Rattus norvegicus: one gene and its partners. The protein of the gene in region 2 purifies or fractionates together with the protein of the main gene of each other region. This does not show direct contact. Links are inferred from orthologs where the notes say so. Each region holds a gene or a part of one and is shown on either strand. Other genes may lie near its edges.

Region 1 (7,705 bases), on a different chromosome or scaffold from region 2:
GTTTAGGGAACCCTGTCCTGTAGAGGTGACCAGTCACCAGTCATGGGACCTCTGGCAGGTGGCTCCACCTCCTTGGATTGTTTCTCTATGAAGTAGGGACACTAATCATGGTGTCCACATTCTGGGGATGTCCTTAACAGTCAGTGAATTAAAGTAGAATAATGGAAATGGACTGAGTTCGTGGTCAGTGGCGGAGCCCCGACTAGAATGCCCCAGTGAGGGGGCTTGGGGCGTGGTCAGGGTGGAGCCCCGCCTAGAAATCCCCCAGTGAGGGGGCTGGGGGCGTGGTCAGGGAGGAAACCCAGCCTAGAATCCCCCAGTGAGGGGGCTGGGGACGTGGTCAGGGTGGAGCCCCTCCTAAACCCCCCAGTGAGGGGGCTGGGGCGTGGTCTGCCTAGACTCCCCCAATGAGGGGCTGGGGGTGTGGTCAGAGTGGAGCTCCCACCCAAGAAGATCATTTTCAGGCCTTAAATTCTTTTCCTTCCAACCCCTAGCACCACTGCCATCTCATATCCTCATCCTGCAAACCATGTGAAATGAAATATTCCAACTATCTCATGATTTCCCCCAGCGTCTCTGCATACTTCATCTGTCCTGCTCTTGTCCCAGCCTGGTCCCTTAGTATAGCTGAACAGGTTCACAGGACCTTCACCATCTGTGCCTGGCAAGCGAGGCTCAGAAGCTCGGGCGCTACTGAGGCAGAGTGTCCCTCGACCGCCATGGATCTGTAAGAAGGTCGTATTGTATTCCAGGGGATACCGGCCTGCGTGAACATATACCTGTTTGTACAAGCCGGTGCTCATATGGGCTGCGTGTGTCACAGAGAGCCAGCTCAGAGAAGTTGAGCAACTCGGCCAAGAGGAACAGGAGTAAAACCCGGAAGTAGCTCAGTGCAGGGGCTGGTGTTCCTACAACCAAGTGCTGGGGGACTGCGTGTGCATGCGTGAGCGTGCGTGCGCGCCACGCCCATCTGCCTGAAATCCGCATTGCCAAGTTTTTCCTGCTTAACGTCCAATAACACACCCACGTTTCCTGGCACAGGATGATGTCCCTAAGGGGAGCAGCAGTCCAGGACAGGACCGAAGCTCGATGACCTGGGACAGCTTCTCCCTGCTGACTGGATGGAGTCTCTCCTCAGCCGGCTAGAGTTTTCCCCCTCCCCCACCCATAATTCCAGACTGCAAACTAAGCTCTGAGCGCCAGTATCTTTTTCTGGGGGAAAATGAGGCTGGGGCAGTTTTGAGTGTGGAAGGCAGACGCTAGGCTGGTATGGCTGAGTCAGCGAACCAGGTATTCAAGGCGATTTCTGCCAGGAAAACTTCAGAACTTTGGAATGGAGGACATTTAACCGAGGGAGAAACTGAGACAAGGCAAAAAAAAAAAAAAAAAAAAAGTGTTAGGTCTCTTGTTTGTTCAAGGAGGCCACCAGGTCCGAAAAGGGACCGCAGGTTACAAGCCCTAAGGGAAGAACTAGCATGGACCTGCCTGGGGCCATTGCCTGCAGGCCGAGACTGGGAGCCCGAGGCTTAGTCTCCTCTCAATAGTCCACACCTCGACACCCCATATCCTTTCTGTGCCCTCCAGCCTACCCCTGCCCACCTCTCACTCCTTCCCGCTCTAACCTGTTCATTTCCGCATCCTAATGCCTCTGGGCGACCCCCAAGGTGACCCTCGTCCCTGGGTCTCACTCAAAGACGAGTGTGGCAAAACTTTTAATCCCCCTCACTCGCTCCTCCCCGCCCCCATGGCTAGCGCTCTAGCAAACGCGACAGCCCAGCTCCTACCCTCCCCCACACCCTGCACCCCAGATACCCTTCCCCTCCTCCAAACCCTACACCCCGCCCCTGGGGACTCCCCTCCTTGGGGCTCCCCCCGCGCGTGACTCCCAGGGCGACCCCGGGGATTTTCTCCACCCACGAGGAGTTTGGTGGAAAGGTCGCTGGTAAACTGAGGCTGGCGAGGAAGGGAAGCCCTGGGAAGGACCGCACGGTTTTGTTTTGGAGCGAGATGCGGCGAGTGCCAAGGCTTCCAGGGTGTTTCCTACTGTTGATTTTAAGCTTGGGGAAAGAATGAAAAAGCATTCTTTTCCCTTTGTGCATCCACAGGGCCCATCCCAGGAACAAGAAACTTAGGGTGCGTCCCCAGGGGAGGTCAGGAATCTTCCCCGAGAAGCCCCTGCTGAGCGACTTCAGATGTTCTCAGCACCTCTCTGGTCTTTGAGAGGTGATCGCTCAGTAGGGTGGTGACGGAGATTGCAGCCATCTTCCCGGCGTTCCCAGACCCCAGCTTCAGCACAGTGGGTAACAGTGGGGGATGGGCCGCCAGGTTTCGTAATAAACCCGCGTCTTAATTGCTATGAAGCTGGAGTTGGGTGGTGGCGCCTACAACAGACAGCAGTAGCGTCTGGAGCTGCGGAGCTCAGAGCTCCTAACACGGCTTGGTGGCCGGTGGCGCGACACAGGGTAGCCAGAAGGGGCGGTGGGCAAGTGGGAAAAACAACGAGAACAGGAAGGCTTAACCAGTTTATTGGAATGTCTCTGTAGTAGAAATTTTTAAAAAATATGCAAGCGATCTGTCTTGCTCAGCACAATACTAAAGTAGATGTGCCTTAGCTGCGAAGTCCCGGGCTCGAGTCCCGGCTCCCGCGTCGAGGGTCGCCGCCCTCCGCTGAGTTACGCACAGTTCACTGTCCAGCGGGGTGGGGGACGCCTCGCCCCACCCCTGCGGCGGTGTCCAGACCGTCTGCTGCTGCGTGCAGAGGCTGGCTGCATGATTGCCAGGCCTTGGCTCTAAAGTCTCTGTCTCCTCCAGCCTGAGGTCCCCTCCTTCCTGTCTTGGCGACCACCTGTGGTGCTGGCTCCTGGCTCCATAGCCCAGGGGGCGGGCGGGCGCACACTCCCCTCTCCTCGTCTCAGTCTCGGTGACTCCGCCCCTCCCGGAAGGTATCACGGGTAGGGTAGCTTTTGAGGGATTGTTCTGGGGAATGAGGGGGCGCTGTCAAATATGTATTTTATTTAATTTTTTTAGGGGACAGCAACTCAACAGTTGCTTTAGGTGTTTAGAGTGGGCCTCAGCGTTCCTCCAGAGAGATATAGGGGACCCACTGGTTATTGCCTCTGCTCTCTTCACAGTAACTGGCCACCTCCACCAAGCCTTGGCTTTTCCAGGAATCTGTATGACAGTTCTGTTGGAGGGAGAAAAAGAAAGGGTTTAGTGGGAGCTCTAGGAGTTCGGTAGGGAGCCTCTGTTCAGCTCCAGAAGCCCTATTAGAGAAAAACAGGCTAGCTCAAAATAGCTGCCAGGGTGACGAGGCAGCCCACGGGACATGCCGAGCATGGCTGGGCAGTGAGCTGGTGTTGGAGCAGCCAGCCCAGCTATGTTGACAAACACGGGACCCAGGTGATCAGGGCGGGGTGGGTCACTCACCGTGACCAGGAGGCAGTGCAGGTCTCGGGCCTCGTTTGTGCCTAGAGTCTCTGCCGGCTCACCCAGGAGCTGCGCCAGCCTTTGCATGCCTGATACCCTGACGATGTCAATGTCATTGTCGCAGCAGAACGATTGGATCAGGGTGAAGTGAATTTGCAGAGCAATATCATCCTCCTCTTCTTCGTCTATGGCCAGCAGGCACAAGACCACGCTGTCGGGGTCCCTGCAGGAAAGAAGGAGTGTCAGAGGGACGCCAGACCAGGAGCGGGTGTAGCCATGCACGGAGGAGGGCATTAGCTCCGGGAACCTCAGGGGGAGGGGTGAGCAAGACCCAGGGTGCAAGGGTGCCGGGGTGGCCGACTATGCAAATACTGATGGCGGGGAGGAAGGAAGCAAGCAGTCCAAAGTTATTGGGATTGCTTGTCAAAACAAAAAACACAAAACCTCAAACTTGCAAAGTCAGGGTTCTGCAGCGAGTCTCTTTCCCTCTCCCAAAAAATTCTCTGAGAAATGTCGCCCTCCACTCCCCAACTCCCAGGAGCGCTGGGAAAGTCCCCCAAAGCCCCGAGCCCTAGAGGGATGTTGGAGCGCGCGTGCATCAGAGGGGCGCCCCCACCCACGCCCGAGAAAAGGGGGTGCTGACTCACACATTCATCAGTTTGGCCGCCTCGTACACCCCCACGGTGAGGCGATCCTGACGCTGCGCGGCCACCAGCAGCTGCTCCACCGCCGCAGTCACCGCCTGCATCCTAAAAGGCCAAATGGGGAGATTAGGCGATGACAGCCCAGCAGACCTCAGGCGGCGGGCGAGAAGACCTCGGTCTCCGTTGTACTCACTTCTGAACCGCGTTGTCGCTCGCCACCAGCTCTTCCAGGGTCATGATTCAGTCACACTTCACAGCGGACCCCCACGGAAGATCCCCAAGGCAAAGCACTCGTCCAGATCCGAACCCAAGAGGTAAAAACCTTCCCGCGCGACCAGAAGTGTCCGAGGCTTTCCGGAGGCGGTGGGACTTACTTTCCCAAGAAAAAAGCAGGATTAAAAAGAAGATTGCAAAAAAATCCCCCTCGAAATTAATCCAAGAAGACGGAGGTGACACGGATCCCGGGTTGACGCGGAGTGAGCGCGCCGGCGCTGCAAGCCGCTTATAAGACCGCCCGGGAGAGGGCGTGGCCAGGGGAGGCATGCACCGCCCATCCATTGGTGGAGGCACAAAGAGCCGAGTAGCCTGCGCTGAGATTGGCTGGAGGTAGGAAAGGGCGGAGCTCGGATCTCCGGCGGCCCCACGTGGGGGTCAGGGCTGGGAGGAGCGTGAACCCAGGCAGCGGCGACTGCCAGCGAATCGAGAGAGGAAAAAAAAACCACACACACAGACAAAAAAAAAAAAAAAAAAAAAAAAAAAAAACACAGAAGTTTCTCTCCTGATTTCCCGGCAGCCGCGCTACGCAGGCCGCGCGCGGGGTTTCCAGCGCGAGAGGCTGGCTTGAACTTTCGGGGAGAGCTGTCTGGAATCCCCTCCCTGTCCCCGGAGAGTCCCTAGCCTTTCCCAAGCTCTAAAAGAAGGGATGTGCATGGGCCAGGAGGCTAAGTCTGCAGCTCGGCCTTGGAGAGTTGGAGAGTGTTTAAATAAGTCTAAGGTATATAGTAAACACTTGGTAAGTTTGAGGACCGTGGGATCCTCTCCCCAAAGTGAGAACTACAAAGGCATCCCACCAGCGCATACAAAGGTGCTCTGAGAACGCTCAGCCCCCTCAGGCGGGGGTCGCGGGAGAGGCACACAGGAAGCTTCCCAGTGGTCGTGGTAGGTGGTTTGGCGGTGCCCCAGGGGTCCTGGCTGCAGAGCACTAAGGGATCCCAGGAGGAAAGATCCGGAACCCCTTTTCCCCGCTCCTGGCACCCCGAGTTTCAGATGAGCCGGGGAGGCGCAGGTGAAGAGCCTTCCAGACGCTCTCCGGAGCGGCCCCGCCCCCTGCCGGCTGCCTCCCGGTCTATCCTCAGACCGCGTCACCACACCTGATCCGGTGCTGCCCCCTGGGAGTGGTGGCTGAAAGGCAGCCCCCTTTTTTTTTTTTTTTTTTTTTTTTTTTTTTTTTTTTCCGGAGCTGGGGATCGAACCCAGGGCCTTGCGCTTCCTAGGTAAGCGCTCTACCACTGAGCTAAATCCCCAACCCGGCAGCCCCTTTTATGTCCCTGGCATTTTTGTAGTACGCAGCATGAACCACAGGCCCCCTCTTCCATGAGTGTCATTTATCTTTCCAAGGTTTGGCCGGCTATCTGCATTGTGCAAAATGGAAACTGAGGTCTCCGAGGGCGTTCTGTGAGCCACAGTATGAGGGCTGGTAGCGGACGGCAAGGACATGAGGGAGGCAGACAGACCCCGCGTGGGATTCTCCCACAGCGCACGGGGGCTCCCGGTGAATCACCCTGAGTCCCCTCCTCCGCCAGCCTGGGTCCTGGCCTCAGCCGCGCGGCTCGATTCGCCGGATCCCCCATCCCGGGTCTGGTGACGCATCCTGCATCCTCCGCGCCGCCCACCCAAGGTGCGAAATGTCCCGGGCGTGAGAGGCGCTGCGGCGACACCTGGCGGTCCCACGAGGTCTCTGCTCACGCAGTTTCCGGAAAGGGAGGGGAGAGAACACCTGCAATGATTTTTTTCTTTTAAATTAAATATTTTGCGATGCTGGTGATGAATCCAGGACTTCTTGATGCCGGGAAGCTCATCACCGATTTCTACATACCGCTGTGGCGCAACCTGACATGCGCTATACATACAGTATATTGTAAATACCAAACATGAAGGGCAAGACAGCTCCGCAGGTAGAGTTGGCCAGCAAGCAATCCTCGGAGCCCATAGGACGGAAGATACGAGCTGACTCCTGCAAGCTGTCTTCTAATCTCCGTAGATGCTCCGAAGCGTATGTCGTCCTCACACACAAGTAAACTTACTAGATGCATAGTTTAATAATTAAGTTGGCTGCTGGGCTGTGGCAATGGCTCGGTGGGCAGAAAGCTTAGCCAGCATGGGGGAGGCGTTGCTTTCCATCCTTGTACCACACGAACCATATGGTGGCACACACTTGTCGTCCCAGCACTGGGAAGGAAGAGACCGGAAGATCAGTCAGTAGGTCAGGATCATCCAGGGTTACGTAGTGAGTATGAGGCTACCCTGAGCTAAATGAGACCCTGTTTGGAACCTGGGGGTGGAAGTGGAAAGATGTCTCATCCGTTAAGAACACTGGTTGCTCTTCCAGAGGATAAGGGTTCAATTCCTGACTCACATCAGGCAGGGTCAGGATAGTGTAACCCAGTCTGGGACCCAACGCCCTCTCCCAGCCTCTGAGGAATCCAGACAGCTGCAGGCAAAACCAGAATACATGAACTTTTTTTTTTTTAGATTTTACTTATTTAATATGTATGACTACACTGTCACTGTCTTCAGACGCACCAGAAGAGGGTATCAGATCCCATTACAGATGGCTGTGAGCCGCCGTGTGGTTGCTGGGAATTGAACTCAGGACCTCTGGAAGAGCAGTCAGTGCTCTTTAAGAAATTAAGAAATGGCTGAGCCATCTCTCCAGCCCCCACATAATTTTTTTTAATAAAAAGATAACAAAAACAAAAAGAAAAGGCACAGTGTGGTGGCACACGCCGTTAATCCTACTCACTGGAGGCAGAAGCAGGAAGATCTCTGAGTTTCAGTCCAGCCTGAGCTACAGAGTATGTTTCAGGCCAGCCTGGGCTACACAGTAAGACCCTGTCTCAAAAACCCAAACAGCAGGGGCAGAGAGATGGCTCAGTGGTGAGAACAGTGGCTGCTCTTCCAGAGGACCAGGGTTCAATTCCTAGCACCCACATGGCGGCTCACAACCATCTGCAACTCCAATTTCAGGGGAACTGATGTCCTCACACAGACATGCATGCAGACAAAACACAGTGCACATAAAAAGTCAAGAGGGATAACCAAAATACACAACAACCCAACACCCAGATGCTGTGCTTCTAGAGAGACACCGTGAGTTGTTGCGGTGCTAGACAGAGAAAGGTTAGGAAGTCAGGAGGAGGTGAGGGTCTGTTGGGGCCGGGCAGGCACTACAAAAACTCTCACAACAGAACCGGAAATAGGATCTGGTGTGGGAACTTCCAGGTCAAAGGCCAGAGCTCTGGGAGGGGCTGCTTTGGCTTTGGTCAGCAGGCCACCAGGAAGGGTCTGGATTCCTTGAAGCACCCCTGTGGGGTCCCTGCTCTGGCTCCCCCCACTTGTTTGAGATTGAATTTCAT
Region 2 (7,481 bases):
TCTCATAGACGTGACAAAGTAAATAAAATAACAGATAAACCAGAAACTGGGGAAAGACATCTTCACACTACAGATTAGGTGACGAGGTTTACTCAAGAGTTTGTTTAAAAACAAAACAAAAAATAACCCAAAAAACTCTTGCAACTCAGTAAGATGACAAATAACCTAGTTTTAAAATTGGCAAAATATTCAAATAGGCTTTCCCTCAAAAGGAGGAGAGCAGTGGGGCCAGCCAGATGGCTTGGCAGCTAACAGAACCGCAACCAAACCTTAGGACCAGAGTGCAATGCCCCGGACACATACCGTGGAAGAAGAATCAATTGACTCCAGCAACTTATCCTCTCTTGACGTATATGTTACAACATGTGTATGCACTGATGCACAGTGTGTGTGTGTGTGTGTGTGTGTGTGTGTGTGTGCGTGCGTGCGTACACAAGTAATATATGGATATCCACCCACCCACCCACCCATCCATCCATCCATCCACCCACCCATCCATCCACCCATCCACCCACCCACCCATCTACCTATCCAGAGGCAAGCGGGCGAGACATATCCAAATGGCCATCAGGCGCAGTGACGAGACAGACAGGGATTGGAAGTACAACGAAGTCTGCTTCCTACTGTCTGCAAGCCTACTGTCAAAGTGCGACAGCAGGACAGGGAGACCAGCAGGACAGGGAGACCCGGGCGCCTCACAGTGGAAGAACACGGTATGGCAGTCACTTCGGAAAAAACTCAAAAGTTTCTGAAAACACAGCTCAGCACACCCAACTCCTAACAGGCACAAAAACAGCCACGCAGATGCCTGTGTTCAAAGCAAATAGGCCACCAGGGGGCAGCCTGGTGCGCACCAACAAGGCCAGGGTCGGACAGAGCACGTGGCGCTTGCGTACAGTGGAAATAAAGATGTGCTGGCTTGTGCTCCATCATGACAGCCTCAGAAACTTCTAACTTCTAACTTCTCTAAACGCCCATAGTGAGCAAACCCCAGGCTGCACCAAGACAGGTGGGACAAATTCTACTGCGGGCAGTAGGAAGGTTCTAGAACTACATTGTGTAACAGCTCTACAGCTCTGATAAAAGGACAGTGTGAATCCCTTTACGTGATGTAGAGTAACTTAAAAGGCTGTAAAAGGGCATCTTAAATGAAGTCCTAACATCTCTGAATCCAAATCGGTGTTCTTTTGGCAGAAGAGACCAAAAATCCTTGACAATGACCCGGCCAGGGTCTGCTGCTACGTGCCAGGAGCAAGTGCATGATCCAAGAGACTTAGGGAATAAGGGAATAAGAGCACTAAACAACAACCAAGACAAACGCCATCACTGACAACAGCCGGCTATTTCAGGGTCCTACCGGCTTAGTCAGGTTATGCTCTGAGAAGATGGTCGCCTATCAAGAGATCGCATGGCACTGTTCCCCTCCCATATACCCACCAGCAACCAGAGCCCCAACCTTGTTGTGCACAGTAAGAGCCAAGCATGGCCACCTTATATCAGGTATGCCCAATCTTAAACATTGGGATATGCTGTCATCCGAAAATGCCTTGGGCCACACTCATAGCTATCCTGTGATGCACATGGCCCACAGGCGGCAGGTTGGACACACCCGGCTCGGGGTCCCACTGGGGCAGGCTTGGCTGTGCTGTTTCTACTGAGCAGAATCAAGGCAGGGAGGGGATCAGCAGACCTCCGCATGCTGCCCTGCTCTTAAGCCCCGAGCCAGTAACAGACGCTGACTTAGCTTTCCTAAAATAAACCATTTATTGAAAAAGAACCTTTTCTTCAGTTTCACTTATGAACCTTTGCATAACAAACCTGCAGCTTGCCAACAAGGAGGCTCCACAGTCGGAGCCACAGTCAGAGCCAACAAACAGGAGGCGGAAACAAGGTCCTGGACACCTGATTAACACTACATTTTCTTCTGAACCCAGAAGCTCAAGAACACTATGCTGATGTCACACGGGGAACGGAGGAGACAGAGGCGGTGGTCCGTGTACAGTAGTAATGGCACTTAACATGCAGCTTCTTTAACCTTGTCAACACTGTCACTCGGGGGTCCTGTGCTATTGCAGACACCAGGAGCAGCAGGAGTGAGGCTTGTCACCGTGTAGTCTTCAGTCTTGGAAGGTTAAGAGGCCGCCTGCACTGCAGTCTTTATGTAAATATTACATACAGTAGTGACCACGGGATTCTGTCCACACACTGCTAGGCCACGGACTAGAGCTTCACTCTTCATCTGTGCAAACCTGCGAGGAAGCAAGAGAGCGCTGAGCCCCTGCTGGTGCAAGCACGGTCCTGTGTCTGCCTGTGTGTCTTGCCTGCTTGGCTTCTGGCCCACAGGCAAGGCCTAGTGCCCCCCTGGCACCAGCCCCTGACATGTGAGGGACGACTTAGAAAACAGACCTACTCCATGTCTGCTCTCAGGGAAGGCTGGGCAGAACATAGGACAGTTCCTTCAGGGCAATATATTTCATCTACTTCAGAGCTAAGAAGCACTGTTCCTTCATCACCTGTCCCCAGTAGCTCTTGTACCCAGCCTACACACCAGCCCAGGTTCCGCCCACCCACCCTGTATCAGGGACTCCCGTGCAGGGTCCTTAGCTATGATCTGTGTGTTCTCATCCCCCTCCCAACACTGCAACACTGCCCCAGCTGCACTTGTGTGCCCACTCACTACTACAGCCTGCTGTACTGTGGCAATCTGACTGTCGGCCCTGAGCAACAAGACACCCACCTAAAATCCTGAACAAATCTTTAAATGGTCTTGCCAATGAGACCACCGATGCTCAGTCTCAACCTGCTGCCGTTTGGTTCTGCTGTGGTGGATGCGACCTTCAGATGACTCAAGGAGCCAGGAGGTGGGGCCACCCCAGACACCCCCAACCTGCTCCTCAGCCAGGGTCGTTCCAACCCCTCAGCACGGCCGGAGGCCACTGTCAGCCCGCTATCTCGGCAGGGCCACCAGCCATGCTGTTTGTTAACCGAGACCCTCTGCTGCTCCTACATCTTCCCCAGTCTTACCTTCTACCACATCCGCTTTCTTGTGCTCCCTCAGACCTTGGCTCACAAAGTACCACAATGACTCTGCCCGCAGCAGCCCCTCATGCCTGACACCTTGTCTGCCTCTCTGCCTGGTCACACCCTCTCATAGAGAAAGCACTGCCTCGGGCCTCCATAGGGCCCTAGATCCTCAGCCCCGCCTCCCATCACACATGCGTCACCACTGCTCAAGACACAGTGACAGGTCCAAGATGACCACACATTCTCGAGGGCAAGAACTAGGCTCATCTCCTGTCAACAGATCATGTAGAGAGGTCTTAGTGAGTCTTTACTAACTGAAAGCAAATCTCTGATACGTGAAGACATCCAGTTCCTGTCCTTTTAGATATAACTATTTTACACTAACGTCTGGTGCCTGATGCAAAGTCAAGCTTAAGTGTTTAACTCTGACGAGGACGACTGCAGCAATTACACAAACCTTGACAAAAGCGTGGTCAAGGAGCTGGCTGGCTGTCCACCTTATCTTCGGGTCACTTTCCAGGCAGTGCGAGAGAAAGTCCTTTCCTTCAGGGCTTAACCTTTCGGGGATTGGTGGCTTGTGTCCCATTCCCACCTTGTACATAATCTGAAAGTTGTGTTCAAACTCATGCCAAGGCCGCTGCAGAGACGGGAAAAAATAAAACAAGCTACAGCATTACACGGTCACAGCGACAAATGTCCAATCCCTCTGTAGGTATCTTGAGAAGACACCTGTCAGGGGAAGAAACACGTGCCGGGAGGAAGAAACAGGAAACACATCAGTCTTGAAGTGCATACATACAGTGTCAGAGCTTCAGTCAGCGCACGCGCACACACACACCCCTGTGTAACTACTGTTGAATGTAGCACACACTGTGCAATCACAGTCAGCAGGACTGTCACCAGAAGCAAGGTTTCTGTGGTCTAGGGACATATGTTTAAGTTTCATCCTATGGAAAGCAGTTCTCCAGAGTGAGCTCCCACTGTGAATTTTTGTCTGAAGCATGACTGTTTTCTCATACCTCTCTTAGAGTGAATATCATAAATCTTATAAATGTTATTCATGTGCTAAGGAAAAATTCATTTCCCTTTTAAATGTACCGTTCTGGAGAAGATGAGGATGGCCATCTGTTTCTTTTTAATAATCAGGTCTGCCTTTTTAGTGCAGTTTACAGTAACAGAAAGCTTGACTGGAGGGCAGTGGGTCTCCATGCACCCTCACACGTCTTGTCCCCCACTTTCTCCTGTTAGCCATAATTAATTACAATTGGTGAATCACTGTCTGCTCTGCTGCTAATGAAACATGCCATCAGGGTTCACTCTCTGTCTCGTACATTCTGTGGGTGTAGACACAGGTGTGATGGGAATCCATCATCTGCAGCTCTTTGGATGTGAACTGTCCCCCATGGGCAAAGTGTCTGAACATATGACCCCAGCAGGTGGCGCTGTTCTGGACGGTTGTGGACTCTTTAGGAGGTGTGGCAAGACCTACTAGGTAGGTCTGGAGGTTTTATAGCTGGGATCCACTTCCTGTCCCCTCTCCTTTGTAACTGTTGGTATGATGTCACTGGCTGCCTCACGTTCTTGCTCTCCTGCCATGCCTTAAAGTCAGGATGGACTTTAAACCGTGAGCCAAAATGACCGCTTTCTCTCTTAAGCTGTATTTTGAAGGCATTTGGTACCACAGTAAGAAAGTTACTGATACATAAGGAAGAATCTTGTCATCCCAAGTATCTCTTTCACTGTTTAGTCCTTTCCCTCCTACCCCTGCAACCACTATCTTTTGTTCATTCTGAAATAGGGCCTTGCCATGTAGCCCAGGCACCTCAGCCTCCCAAGTGCCATGGTAACAGAGGTGTGTCCCTACAGTTCTGCCTCCGGCGGTTTGTAAGGGACTCTTGTGGTAAGCCTGGTGGGTGTGGGGAATGTCGAGTACCTCTCTTCTCTTATCCTATCTTTCTGAGGATGTGAGGCCCGTTTCTTCACACCAGTGAGTAGCATCCCTTGTCTGCTACTCACAGTAACACACAGTTTGTTAGTCCTGTTAACCCATCCAGCTGACCTCCAGGGAGGTGTGGCTTGCTGATCCTTGTATCTACTGAAGGGCTCCTGACTGCTTCAAGTTTAGGCATTCATGTGCAGGTTTCGTGCAATGACAGCTTTGGACTTCATCTTTCCTTTTGCACCTGCACACGCCTGGCACCTCTTCCTCTCCCCCATCTCCCTATGCAACTCCGGCTTCTCTTTTCTGCTTTCCTATTGCATGTGCTTACTCTCCTCCCTCCTCACTCTTAAAGCCTCAAATAGATAGCTTCCTCTCCTGGAATCCTGTCTAGCTTTCTACCTCCAGCCACTCCCACATAAATACGTGTATATTAAAATTAAGGAGCTGGGATTTGCATATGAGAAAGAACGTGTGGTATTTCTCGTATTCTCCAGGTCCATTCAGTTTCCTGCAGACTGCATGCTTTCACTTTTGTGTGTGGCTGAGTAATAGTTTATGTTTCCATTATCCCATGTATCTGAGTGGTCCTTTCGGCCGATTCCACTTGTTGATGCCGTGAATAAAGCAGCAACGGTGGCCTAGTCTCTAGTGGGACATGTGGTCCTTTCAGCGTGTTCTCGGAACAGCATAGCTGAGTCATATGATGATCTAACGTCCTGTGAAGCTGCCACACAGATCTCCACGGTGGCTCTGCAGGTTCATGGTCCCGCAACAGTGAACACGGCTCATCTTTACACCTTCATTCATATGCACTACCTTTGGTTTTCTTCACAGCCATTCTGACTGGCCGGAAGGAGCCTCGGAATAGCTTTAACTTGCACTTCCTTGTTGGCTAAGGATGTTGAGCCCTCATTAAAATATTTCTCCTTCTGAGAACTCTGTTCTGCTCCTTGCCTCTTTTGTGGTTAGTCTGTTTGCTGTTTAGGAGTTCTTTGCATATTCTCATATTAATCCTGTCAGATGTGCAGCTGGAAGACTGTTGTCCAATTCTACGTGCTACCTCTTAACTTGGTTAACTATTTCTTTGTAGTACTGAGGCTATCGAGTGTACATACATGTTCACATGTGTGTGTGTGTGTGTGTGTGTGTGTGTGTTTGAGTTCACAGACATATGCTAAATGTGCATGGCAATCAGAGGCCATATGTGTCAGCCCTCATTGCTTTACATTCATTTCCTGTCAGGGTCTCCCATGAACCTAGAGCCATCAATGTGACTATACAGGTTGTCTCTGAGCTTTACACATCCTCCTGCCTTTGCCTTTGCAGACACATACTTCTGTTATCAGCATTTTTTTAAACATGCATGCTAGGAATCTGATGCTTTCATAAGAGGCACCTTTCCAACTGGCCATCTCCCCATAACCTGCACAGAGCACTTTGATCTCACAAGGCCCCACCTGTTAGCTGCCAGCCTTATTTCCGGAACAACTGGAGTCCTAACCAGGAAGTCCTAAATAGCCCTCAACTTTGTCAAACCTTGCCCAGTTTCAGAATTTACAGTCTTTGATAAAGGAATCTGATCCATTTGGAGGTGTCCAGAGTGTGGGATAAAGATCGTCCACACATTGGCATCAGTCAAATAGACTGTCTTTTCTCCATTTGTTGACACAAGCAGGTTTGTGTTTCTCTGCTTAACCTCAAAGCTGAAACACAAATTCACTCCTAGGAGCTCTCTGGGGCCCTATGTGTACCCTATGGACAGGTGCTTCTCAGTTTGTTATTTCTCCGAACCTTTCTGTAGTGGAATTCTTCCCTAATTAACTGAATAATAAAGATGATAAGAAGTCAATTACTGTTCGAGGAGGAGGAGGCGGGCCTTTCGGGTCCAAAAGAGGAAGAGGGAATGCAGGAGGAAGGCACTTGATTTTGGATGGAGAGGCGGGAGCAAAGCAGACAGGATGTAGGCTGGGGACAGTTAGATCTGGTGGCAGATTTCTAACATAGAACAGTTGATGAATTTAGGATGATAGATTCTGCGCCCAGCGACTGTGTTATCTGCTGATTCTAAACTAAGATTGTCTGGTGTTTTCCATTCTCTGGTGACTCGGGTGGGATAGAGGGACAGAACTTAGCCTAGGGGGAATTCAGCCAGGCTTTGGGATGGGAAGATTGGGACAGGACTGAGCTCCAGGGGAAAGGTAGTGAGTGGAGCGTGGGCTGGCGAGAGCATACCCACAGCTGCCCACGGGACCAAGACACTACCTCGGAGCTCTGGAGAGGCAGAGCCAGCGTTGGTGGGAGAGGCCTTGGCAAGAGGAATCATTGGGTCTGGATCTCGGGCTATGTACAGGGCTAGGAGCAGTCTGAGACCACCGGCTGGTGCCTAGCTAGCAACAGTATGGATTGGTTATTACATGCAACACCTTTCTGAGCCTTTTCATGGGATCCATTGACTCTCTGGTCATGAGCTCAAGTAGGAAGGTGTCCACAGCACTTACGATAAAGCCTCAGTTCT
Region 3 (8,030 bases), on a different chromosome or scaffold from region 2:
GTCGTTTCATGTGTACAACACTTTCAATGTCCTTATGTTTGTATGAGCATTGTCTAAAAGAAAAGAAAAATTCAGCTTCTAGTTTGAGGGACCCTGGCTTGGTGTTGTGTCAGTACCATTGAGCTTTGTTCTCAAAGAAAACAGACCTTTCCCCATATATAATTTTTTAAGGTCGAAGGTTATAGTAAGGTCATAAAGCACACTCTATAAGTTTCTAGTTATAAGCTCTTTCCTGCAAATAGCACCATTTCTTTTAGCTTAGGAAATAGTTTATTGTAAAAGGTTGCTTTCCTGGACTCTTTTCATTACAAAGCGTTAACTTACTGAAGACCCTGTCTCACCAGACACAGCAGACGCCACATTGAATTTGTGAAGTCACCTGTGGGAAACTAGGGATTTCCCACTTTTCAGTGAACAACACATCTCAGGCAGGTGTGTCAAGTTTTTGTTCTTGTTGAATGTAAAGAAGCCAGTCGTTTGCTTTTGTGTTTTTAATGAAGATACCAGGGTGGGTTGGAACGAGGTAGCCCAGTGGCCTTAAACTCAAACTAGTCCTCCTGCCCCAACCTTGTTTACTAATTTCTAAAGCAATTAACTAAATATTAGCATAAGTTAGAGGCATACTTTACTTATACTTATAGATTTATCTTCTTTTGAATTTTATTAATGTAGTGCATGATGTGCGTGTGTACGTGCATGTGTGTCTGCGTGTGTGTGCGTGTGGACAGGTGGATGTGCACATGTCCTGCACTCATGTGGTCAAAAGACGAGTCTGAGAAATCAAGTCTCTTCTCCTTTAGGTTTCAGAGATCAAACTCAGGCTGTCAGGCTTGGGTGGCAAGCGCCCTACTGAACCAATGGTTCAGAATTTCTTTTCAACCCAAGTTTAAGTTACTTCATAAAGGAACAACAAAACAAAAATCAAAAGAATACCTAACTGCACTTATTGCTGAGCCTGTCAGAAACGGATCAACCTTAAGGCTGGATCCTGCTATTTCTTATCACTAAGCACTGGGACTTAAGTGACTCAAACTCCTTTTTAATAATATGTATGGTAAGTAACGAATCTCTGTGAGGCTTTCAATATTTTCCTGTTGCTATGATCTGAGCAAATACCACGTACCAGGTAGTAATTACTTTTCCCAGGGCCAGGGACACTGCAGGATCTCATACAGGCTCTCTCACTAAAGCTGCAGCCTTGGATTTATGATGATTTCTACTTATTCCACTTATTTAACCAATACTGACTCATCACCTAATGTATGCAGACATCTACGACCCGGTATTAGCTCATCCTTCCAGATGACGAGATGACAAAGCTATAAAAGGCAACGCTGTGGGCTGGGTAGTGTGTTCTTCACTTTTACACCTGAGTGAATCAGGGCAGAGAGGCCTGATGGAGGGAGGCATGGCTGCCACCCATGCTCTTTCCAGCAAACAGCTGCTTTTCTCCACTTGCTTTTCTCCACTTGCTTTTCTCCTACTTGGTTTGACTTATTTCATGAACTGCAACAGTTGTAGAAACAGATCGGACGAGCCTCTAGCGGGAAGGCTAAAGGTCTTGCCTGAAAGGCATGGCTCTCAAATCTCCTGCTAATATAAAAAGTAAATGTTGTTACTCCAGTTGTTTGGGATTACACCTTGGCTTAAAGCAAAAGAAGACTAAATAAGGCCTAGAAATCCACATTCCTAAGAGTAGAAACAAAAGAAGGCCATACAAGATGCGCAGAAGCTTAAGGGTATGTTTTCTTCTGCCCTCCCTGCTGGTCACAAGAAGGCTGACAAACACAGGGGCCCAAGGAGCTCCAGAGAGAGGGTGGGGGTGGGGAGGGGGGAGCTGCAAACAGTGGAGACTACAGCTCTGCAGGCCTTTTTCTCCAGCATGTCCCTTTGGGTTCCCTGGCTCTGCCTACATGGGCCTGCTACTGACCAGACAGTACAAAGGCTTCTTCTACTGAAGTCTTTTTTTCCTTATTCTCTGACACTTCTTCCCTAATATATCCAGACCCCTTGCAGCAGTCGTGGAAATGCTCGGCTGAAGCTATAGTGCCCTGGGAAGAGGCTAAGAACATGAGAAACCTGCCCTTTGTCATGGTTCTACAAAACATTCTCACTACCTTACACTGGGAACTACAGCTATTCACCCTATTAACTACCCCTTACCTCCCATGTTATCTACCTACAACACTGACCATGTCACTTCCTTCTGCAGACTGTGGCAAGTTCACAGAAGGAAGCTCGAATACATAATGGTGATGTAAGAACTCCTGTCAGCATCTGAGTCGAACCCCCACCTTTCCAACCCTCTCTCTCACTTATCTCCCTACACCAGAGGCACGCAGCGTCACCCTTGCAGGTCTCTCTGCGGGCTCTGATCTTTCATGCCTGCACCATTGCACAAACTTTTGTAGCTGTTAGCAATACCCTTTCCCTGTCTCTACCTAGAGAAACTAAGCTCATTTCTTAAGCCTCCAATAAGATGATTTTTTTCCCCTCAGTAAAAGCTTCACTTATCTTCAAGCAGCTTTGGTAACCCTCCTCTCTGCTTCTATGTTTTGCATGCAATTAATTATAGCATTTTAATAATTCATTGTAATTCAGACTTTGCAAGGTGACTCTTTCTCCATATTCCCTTTGCCCTTACCCAAACCCTCTACCATCACCCATCTTTCTGCCTGGTGGCTTTAAAGCAAAGTTTCAATACAAAGTCTGATAAGAGTCCATGTTGGAAAACACATACCACACATTGAGAAACGACACAGTTATTCCATACCAGTTTATTTTAGATAATGTGCTTCAAAAACGTTTTATCATAAATAACCTTTCACATCATAAAATAACTTAGTACGATTTATAATAAAACTTCTGAGAATTTAACATCTCATCAAAATACATTAAACTGTGGCTTGAAAATATGATTAACCCTTTTCACTTTTCTTTTATTTGAGGGCATGAAGACCAAAAAAAATACCCAAAATATTGCTACACATTTAAAGTTTCAACAAAGCAATATTTGGTTTACTTTACTGTAACCCGGCCATCCTAAATTAATAGTTTTCTTTCTTGCACAGTTCTTTGTAGTTTTTTTGTCCCTTTTGACTTGGATTTCTGTTTCCACACAGCTTCCTCCTTCAGTCTCACCTCTCTCTCCTTCTGCAAAGTCATCTCCTAGCCCTCCTGTAGTTGAACTCAGCCCCTTGACATCAGTTTCTGTAATCCTTGCATCAGCGTGGGGAGTGACTGCTTGAGTAACTACAAAGGTATTTCAAAACTTCAGTGCAATTTGGTTCAGTTATTTCCATTCAGATGCCATCACCGTTCGGGGAATCACCGTTCGGGGAGATTAATCACTGGCACCCACTGATCCATGTAGCGACTTTCCCGGCAAAAACAAATAAGTTGACTTAAGGCAGGATCCTTCCATTGTGATGAATGTGGGTTCTGAGAACAGATTTAGAAAAATTACTTCCCCATAATATGATCAGCGTATGCTACTAGCTGTACTACTTTTGAAAGGGCCAAACCCCAAACATTCTGCCAAACAGCGTTTGGCCAAGTCTAAACACCTGTAATGCACACTGAGCCACACAGTTTTGCATATTAACTACCCCACTCTTCATGAAGTTATCATTCTCAAGACTGCCCTTCCAAGCACGTACCCTGGTGGAGTCATAAGTAAAATACTTCTGAAAAACATTCTCAGGCTGTGTGCACCGTGAGAGCTGCAGGGAGGGCAGCTGAACTCTTTTATCTTTCCTGACAATGAATAGCACTTTTCACTGGCAGCACAAATAATCAGGCTACCACTTCCCTACACAAGTCAAAAGAGTACAAAAACAAAAAACCAGAAGACCGAGACAGCAGCACATTTCTTTCTGAAAACACTATCCACCCACCACACATTTTTAAGCGGTGGGGAGGAGGGTGGAGAGGGCTCGTTTAAACAAACTCAAGAGCAGCAAAGAAAAGAATTCCACTCCGTACACTTCACAGAGTATCTATATCCAGGGAGTTAATAAGGTCTGTCTCCTACACGACTTCTATCTTTAGCTTTGACAGCAAATGAAGAATGAAGCTGACTTCTTAACGAAGGGTGAACCGGGAACTTAATGTGGCTTTATCTAATCTGTTCTGCTCAAAGAATTAGTCACACGAGCTAGTGCAGAGGTAGGCAGGGGTAGCTGGGTAGCCTGCTGACTCACTGATATCATCCGCCGCTGGAGGCCACCCATGAGCTTAGACACGCTCCTCACAGTATCAGAACCCCCGCGAGATCAGCGTCCAGCTCGGACAAGGTCCACCCCAGCAGATTCTGAGCTGCAGCCCCTGGTCTCTTACCGTCACCAGCACACAGTGTAAGTCCGGGGTCTGCGCAGCGCCCCCGCTCTCAGCGGGGCTCTTGTCGTTCTCCAGTAGCAACAGCTCTGCCAGCCGACCCGGGTTGCTGACCCGCAGGATGTTGATGTCGTTCTCGCAACAGAAAGCACGAATGAGGGTGAAATGGATCTGCAGAGCCACGTCCCGGTCGTCATCTTCATCCGCAGCCAGCAGGCACAGGACCACGTTGTCCGGGTCTCTACAGACAGTGGGCAACGGTGAGTGTACAAGCTCCGGGGAGCGCGGGGTAGAAGCGGGTGGGTAAGCGGGAGGCGGGGGGCGCGGGTGGCCGGGGCCACTTACACGTTGAGCAGCTTGGCTGCCTCGTACACGCCGACAGTTATGGTGCGCTGACTCCGAGCCTTGCTGAGCACTTCCTCCAGGGCATCGCCCACCGTGTCCATCCTGCAGATCGCAGGGCGAGAGCGGGTCAGTAGGGTTCCGGGCCGCGAAGCCGTAGGGGTGGCGGCCACCGAGTCCGCAGGCACACTTACCTTTCGATCTTCTGCTCTGCGGCCGAGAATTCCTCCAAAGTCATATTGCAAGTGCGAGTCCCTCACGCGGCGCGCGGGCTGCTCCTGGCCCCCACAGTGCCCGGCGCCGGCTCTGCGCTGGCTCCCACCCTCGCGTCTCTGCTCTCGCCGGCTTCTTGCTTAGCCTCGCTGGGGAACACTGCACAGCTGCCTCGGGGCCACTGGAGGACAAAGGGTCCGATCCGGAGATATGGGGCTAGCCCTCAGCCAACCACGGCTAGCCTCATTTACATGCAGCCAGGTCATTGGGTCATGCAAATTAGCAGACTTTGACACTCTGACGCTAGCTCCACCAAGCTAGGCAGAGTTGAGCGGAAGGGGGCGGAGCTATGCGGGAGGGAGCCCCTGGCACGAAGGTGGTGCAGAAAGCCGGTTGGTGGGGTCCGGAGCCAGCTCTAGACAGTTTGTGAAGCCATCTGGTGCAGAGGGCTTTTGGAGTGGTTCAAGTGTCCTCAGCTCTGACTGAAACAGCCTGCCAATTGTTTCTCTGGTTGTGGACATCTTTTGATTGTCGTTTCGTGTTCTTTTGTGTTAAGGGACTGCTTTTTAAAATTTATTTCCAGGGGTTAATGCACTCTAGTCTAGTTGTTATTAGTAAGCATATTTTTAAGTGTTCAGACGTACCAGGCAAAGCTTGCTTCAGAGTGTTTATATGCAAGTTACAGGTTAAGCTGCTTATTCCCAGTAGTATTCTTTTGGTGCCCTGATGGCTGGTTTGATTTGGTTTTGGTTGGTTGTGAGAATTTGAAACTCCAGGGAGGAAAAAAAAAGCACATTTGTGTGTAGTGATGGCACAGTACCGAGTTGGAATCTTTTCCACAAAAAGCTGGTGAAATTTCTGCCCCACTCCTTGTAAGCTGGTGATCACATGTCTAACGAGCCAAGCTCACCGTTCTTAAAACCTTTCCTGAAGAAGGCTCCTTCTAATCAAGTAAGAGCTAAGAGACAAATTCTGTGATATTCAGAGTAACCACAGTCTAAATTCGAGATGCTCATGATGCCCCCTAGACTTCCCATCACAGAGTATGACACTGCCTTCTGTTGCCTATGATCTCACTCTGAATCATGAAGCTGTAACTATAGTTCATTTTAGCCATGTGCTAAAATTTCACCTTTGAGACATAGCAACTTGTAGGTAGAAGGCAAACCTTTATAACTGTAAGCAGGAGTTACAAATTAAAAACAATTTTTAATGTAAACTTTTACTGCATAGTTCAAAACCCCCTTTTTTTGTGAGCTTATTCAATAAATACGAAAACATTGCCTGAACCTACTAGTCACCAAGAGTGGTGAAATGGTGAAATGGTGAAATGGTTTGCATTCCTAACAGTGCTTATATTGAGGTCACTGGGCAGTTAGAGAGGTAAATTTTGCAGAAGTACATGTGACTTTTGCATCCTTAAGTGTTTATTCTTGTGGACAAAATATTTTCCAATTCTCTTAATCTTAATGGAAAATTGATAGGTTGATTTTTCTAGTTCACTTATTGGAGACAACTTTCCTTTTAATCCCTAAGTGCTATGTCCCCAAGAGACAATATCTGAGTAAAGGAACAAGCGTCAGCATGCTTGTGTACCTCATACTTATGCCTTAAATCTTTACATGAGCTATGCTTGTTAAGGAATTCCTCAGGGCAGGGGAGATGACTCAGTGATTAAGCACACTGGCTGTCCTTCCTTAGGTCCTGAGTTCAATTCCCAGCAACTACAATGTGACTCACAACCATCTATAATGGCATCGAATGCCCCCTTCTGGCATGCAAGCATACATGCAGTTAGAGCACTCAGAGAGAGAGAGAGAGAGAGAGAGAGAGAGAGAGAGAGAGAGAGAGAGAGAGAGAGAGAGAGAGAGAATGAATATGAATATTTATTCCCCAACATTGGGATTGGGCCTGGGATTCTTCCTCAATGGCAGAGCAGTTGCCTAGCATGTTCCAGGCTCAGGCCCAGGATTTGATCTGCTGCAAAACAGCAACAGGGACGAAATTTCAATATTTCGTTAGGCTTCGATTGTGGGTATTTAGAATTATCACTAAAACAAGCCTCTGGACATTGTGTAATGGACCATCTAGATTAGGTTAGCTAAGATGGGAAGACCCACTATGATGGATAAAACCATTCCATGGGCTTGGAGTCTTCACTGCATGTGAAAAGGCAAACTAGCTAAGCATGGGCATTTTGGTTCATTCCTGACTGAGGACGCCATGTGACCAGCCACTTCCAGCTCTGACTGTCAAGCCTTCCCATGATGGAGTACCGAGGAATAAACCCTTCCTTTCTTAAGTTGCTTCCACCAGGTATTTTGTTCCAGGAGCAAGACAGGTAACTGTCACTTAAACATTTTCAGCTTCATAAAACCAACATTACACAAACTGATCCAAGTCATCATTTGAAGACTAATAAACTGTGTTCCCTAGAACTCTGGGATTCTACCCATTAGACATTTCTTAGAAGTTCTCTGGAAGGATGCAAGCTGACAAAGATTTAGAGGATCATGTGACAGCAAAGACTATGACTTCATCAGCTTGGTGTCCTCAACAAGTCCTACATTCAGTAGTACAGTGGGTGTCATGAGTTGAAAATAATCTGAGAATTAATCAGCACCTCGTGATCCTACAGTCCTATGCATGAATTCTCAGAAAACTCACCTTTGACATCACTTCAAAAAAAAAAAAAAATACAAGCCCTAAACAATTTCTTGTCCTTTCTCTACAAAAACCTCGTGATCTAATTGGTATATCCATTGTATTAGTCAAGGTTCCTTAGACTAGTGGAACATATACAATGAATACACACACACACACACACACACACACACACACACACACACACACGCACACACATATGAAGGGGATTTAGTTGACTTACATGCAGTCTACAGTCCAACTAATCCAACAATGGCTGGCTATGAACAAAGTCCAAGAATCTAGAAGTTGTTCAGCCCATGAGGCCAGATGTCTCAGCTGGTCTTCTGTATGTGCTGAAATCCCAATGAAGTAGGCTCTAATGGCAGTGAAGGAATAGACTTGCAAGCAAGGCTAGAGCGAGCAGGCAATGAGCAAACACTTCCTTTTTCCATGTATAAGCTTCCAACACAAGGTGTGGCCCAGATTGAAGGTAT

What was found.
Region 1: the proteins of Map3k4 (region 2) and Gadd45b purify together in Homo sapiens (co-immunoprecipitation; 3 studies listed by BioGRID and IntAct, counting the BioPlex papers as one, with this or other methods). This does not show direct contact. The link is inferred for Rattus norvegicus from reciprocal best matches to the Homo sapiens genes MAP3K4 and GADD45B.
Region 3: the proteins of Map3k4 (region 2) and Gadd45a purify together in Homo sapiens (co-immunoprecipitation; 3 studies listed by BioGRID and IntAct, with this or other methods). This does not show direct contact. The link is inferred for Rattus norvegicus from reciprocal best matches to the Homo sapiens genes MAP3K4 and GADD45A.

What each region holds. Positions count from the first base shown.
Region 1 is NC_086025.1:9,426,180-9,433,884, forward strand, and holds Gadd45b (growth arrest and DNA damage-inducible protein GADD45 beta), read right to left. Parts: upstream 4,540-7,705; 5' UTR 4,308-4,539; coding exon 4,264-4,307; intron 4,176-4,263; coding exon 4,074-4,175; intron 3,650-4,073; coding exon 3,427-3,649; coding exon of another isoform or gene 3,223-3,426; exon of another isoform or gene 3,185-3,222; coding exon 3,071-3,184; 3' UTR 2,510-3,070; downstream 1-2,509.
Region 2 is NC_086019.1:51,061,377-51,068,857, reverse strand, and holds the end of Map3k4 (mitogen-activated protein kinase kinase kinase 4), read right to left. Parts: intron 3,662-7,481; coding exon 3,482-3,661; intron 2,250-3,481; coding exon 2,229-2,249; 3' UTR 1,741-2,228; downstream 1-1,740. UniProt on the Homo sapiens protein: Component of a protein kinase signal transduction cascade. Activates the CSBP2, P38 and JNK MAPK pathways, but not the ERK pathway. Specifically phosphorylates and activates MAP2K4 and MAP2K6.
Region 3 is NC_086022.1:97,481,735-97,489,764, forward strand, and holds Gadd45a (growth arrest and DNA damage-inducible protein GADD45 alpha), read right to left. Parts: upstream 5,066-8,030; 5' UTR 4,916-5,065; coding exon 4,872-4,915; intron 4,783-4,871; coding exon 4,681-4,782; intron 4,596-4,680; exon of another isoform or gene 4,577-4,595; coding exon 4,339-4,576; intron 3,442-4,338; coding exon 3,328-3,441; 3' UTR 2,763-3,327; downstream 1-2,762. UniProt on the Homo sapiens protein: In T-cells, functions as a regulator of p38 MAPKs by inhibiting p88 phosphorylation and activity.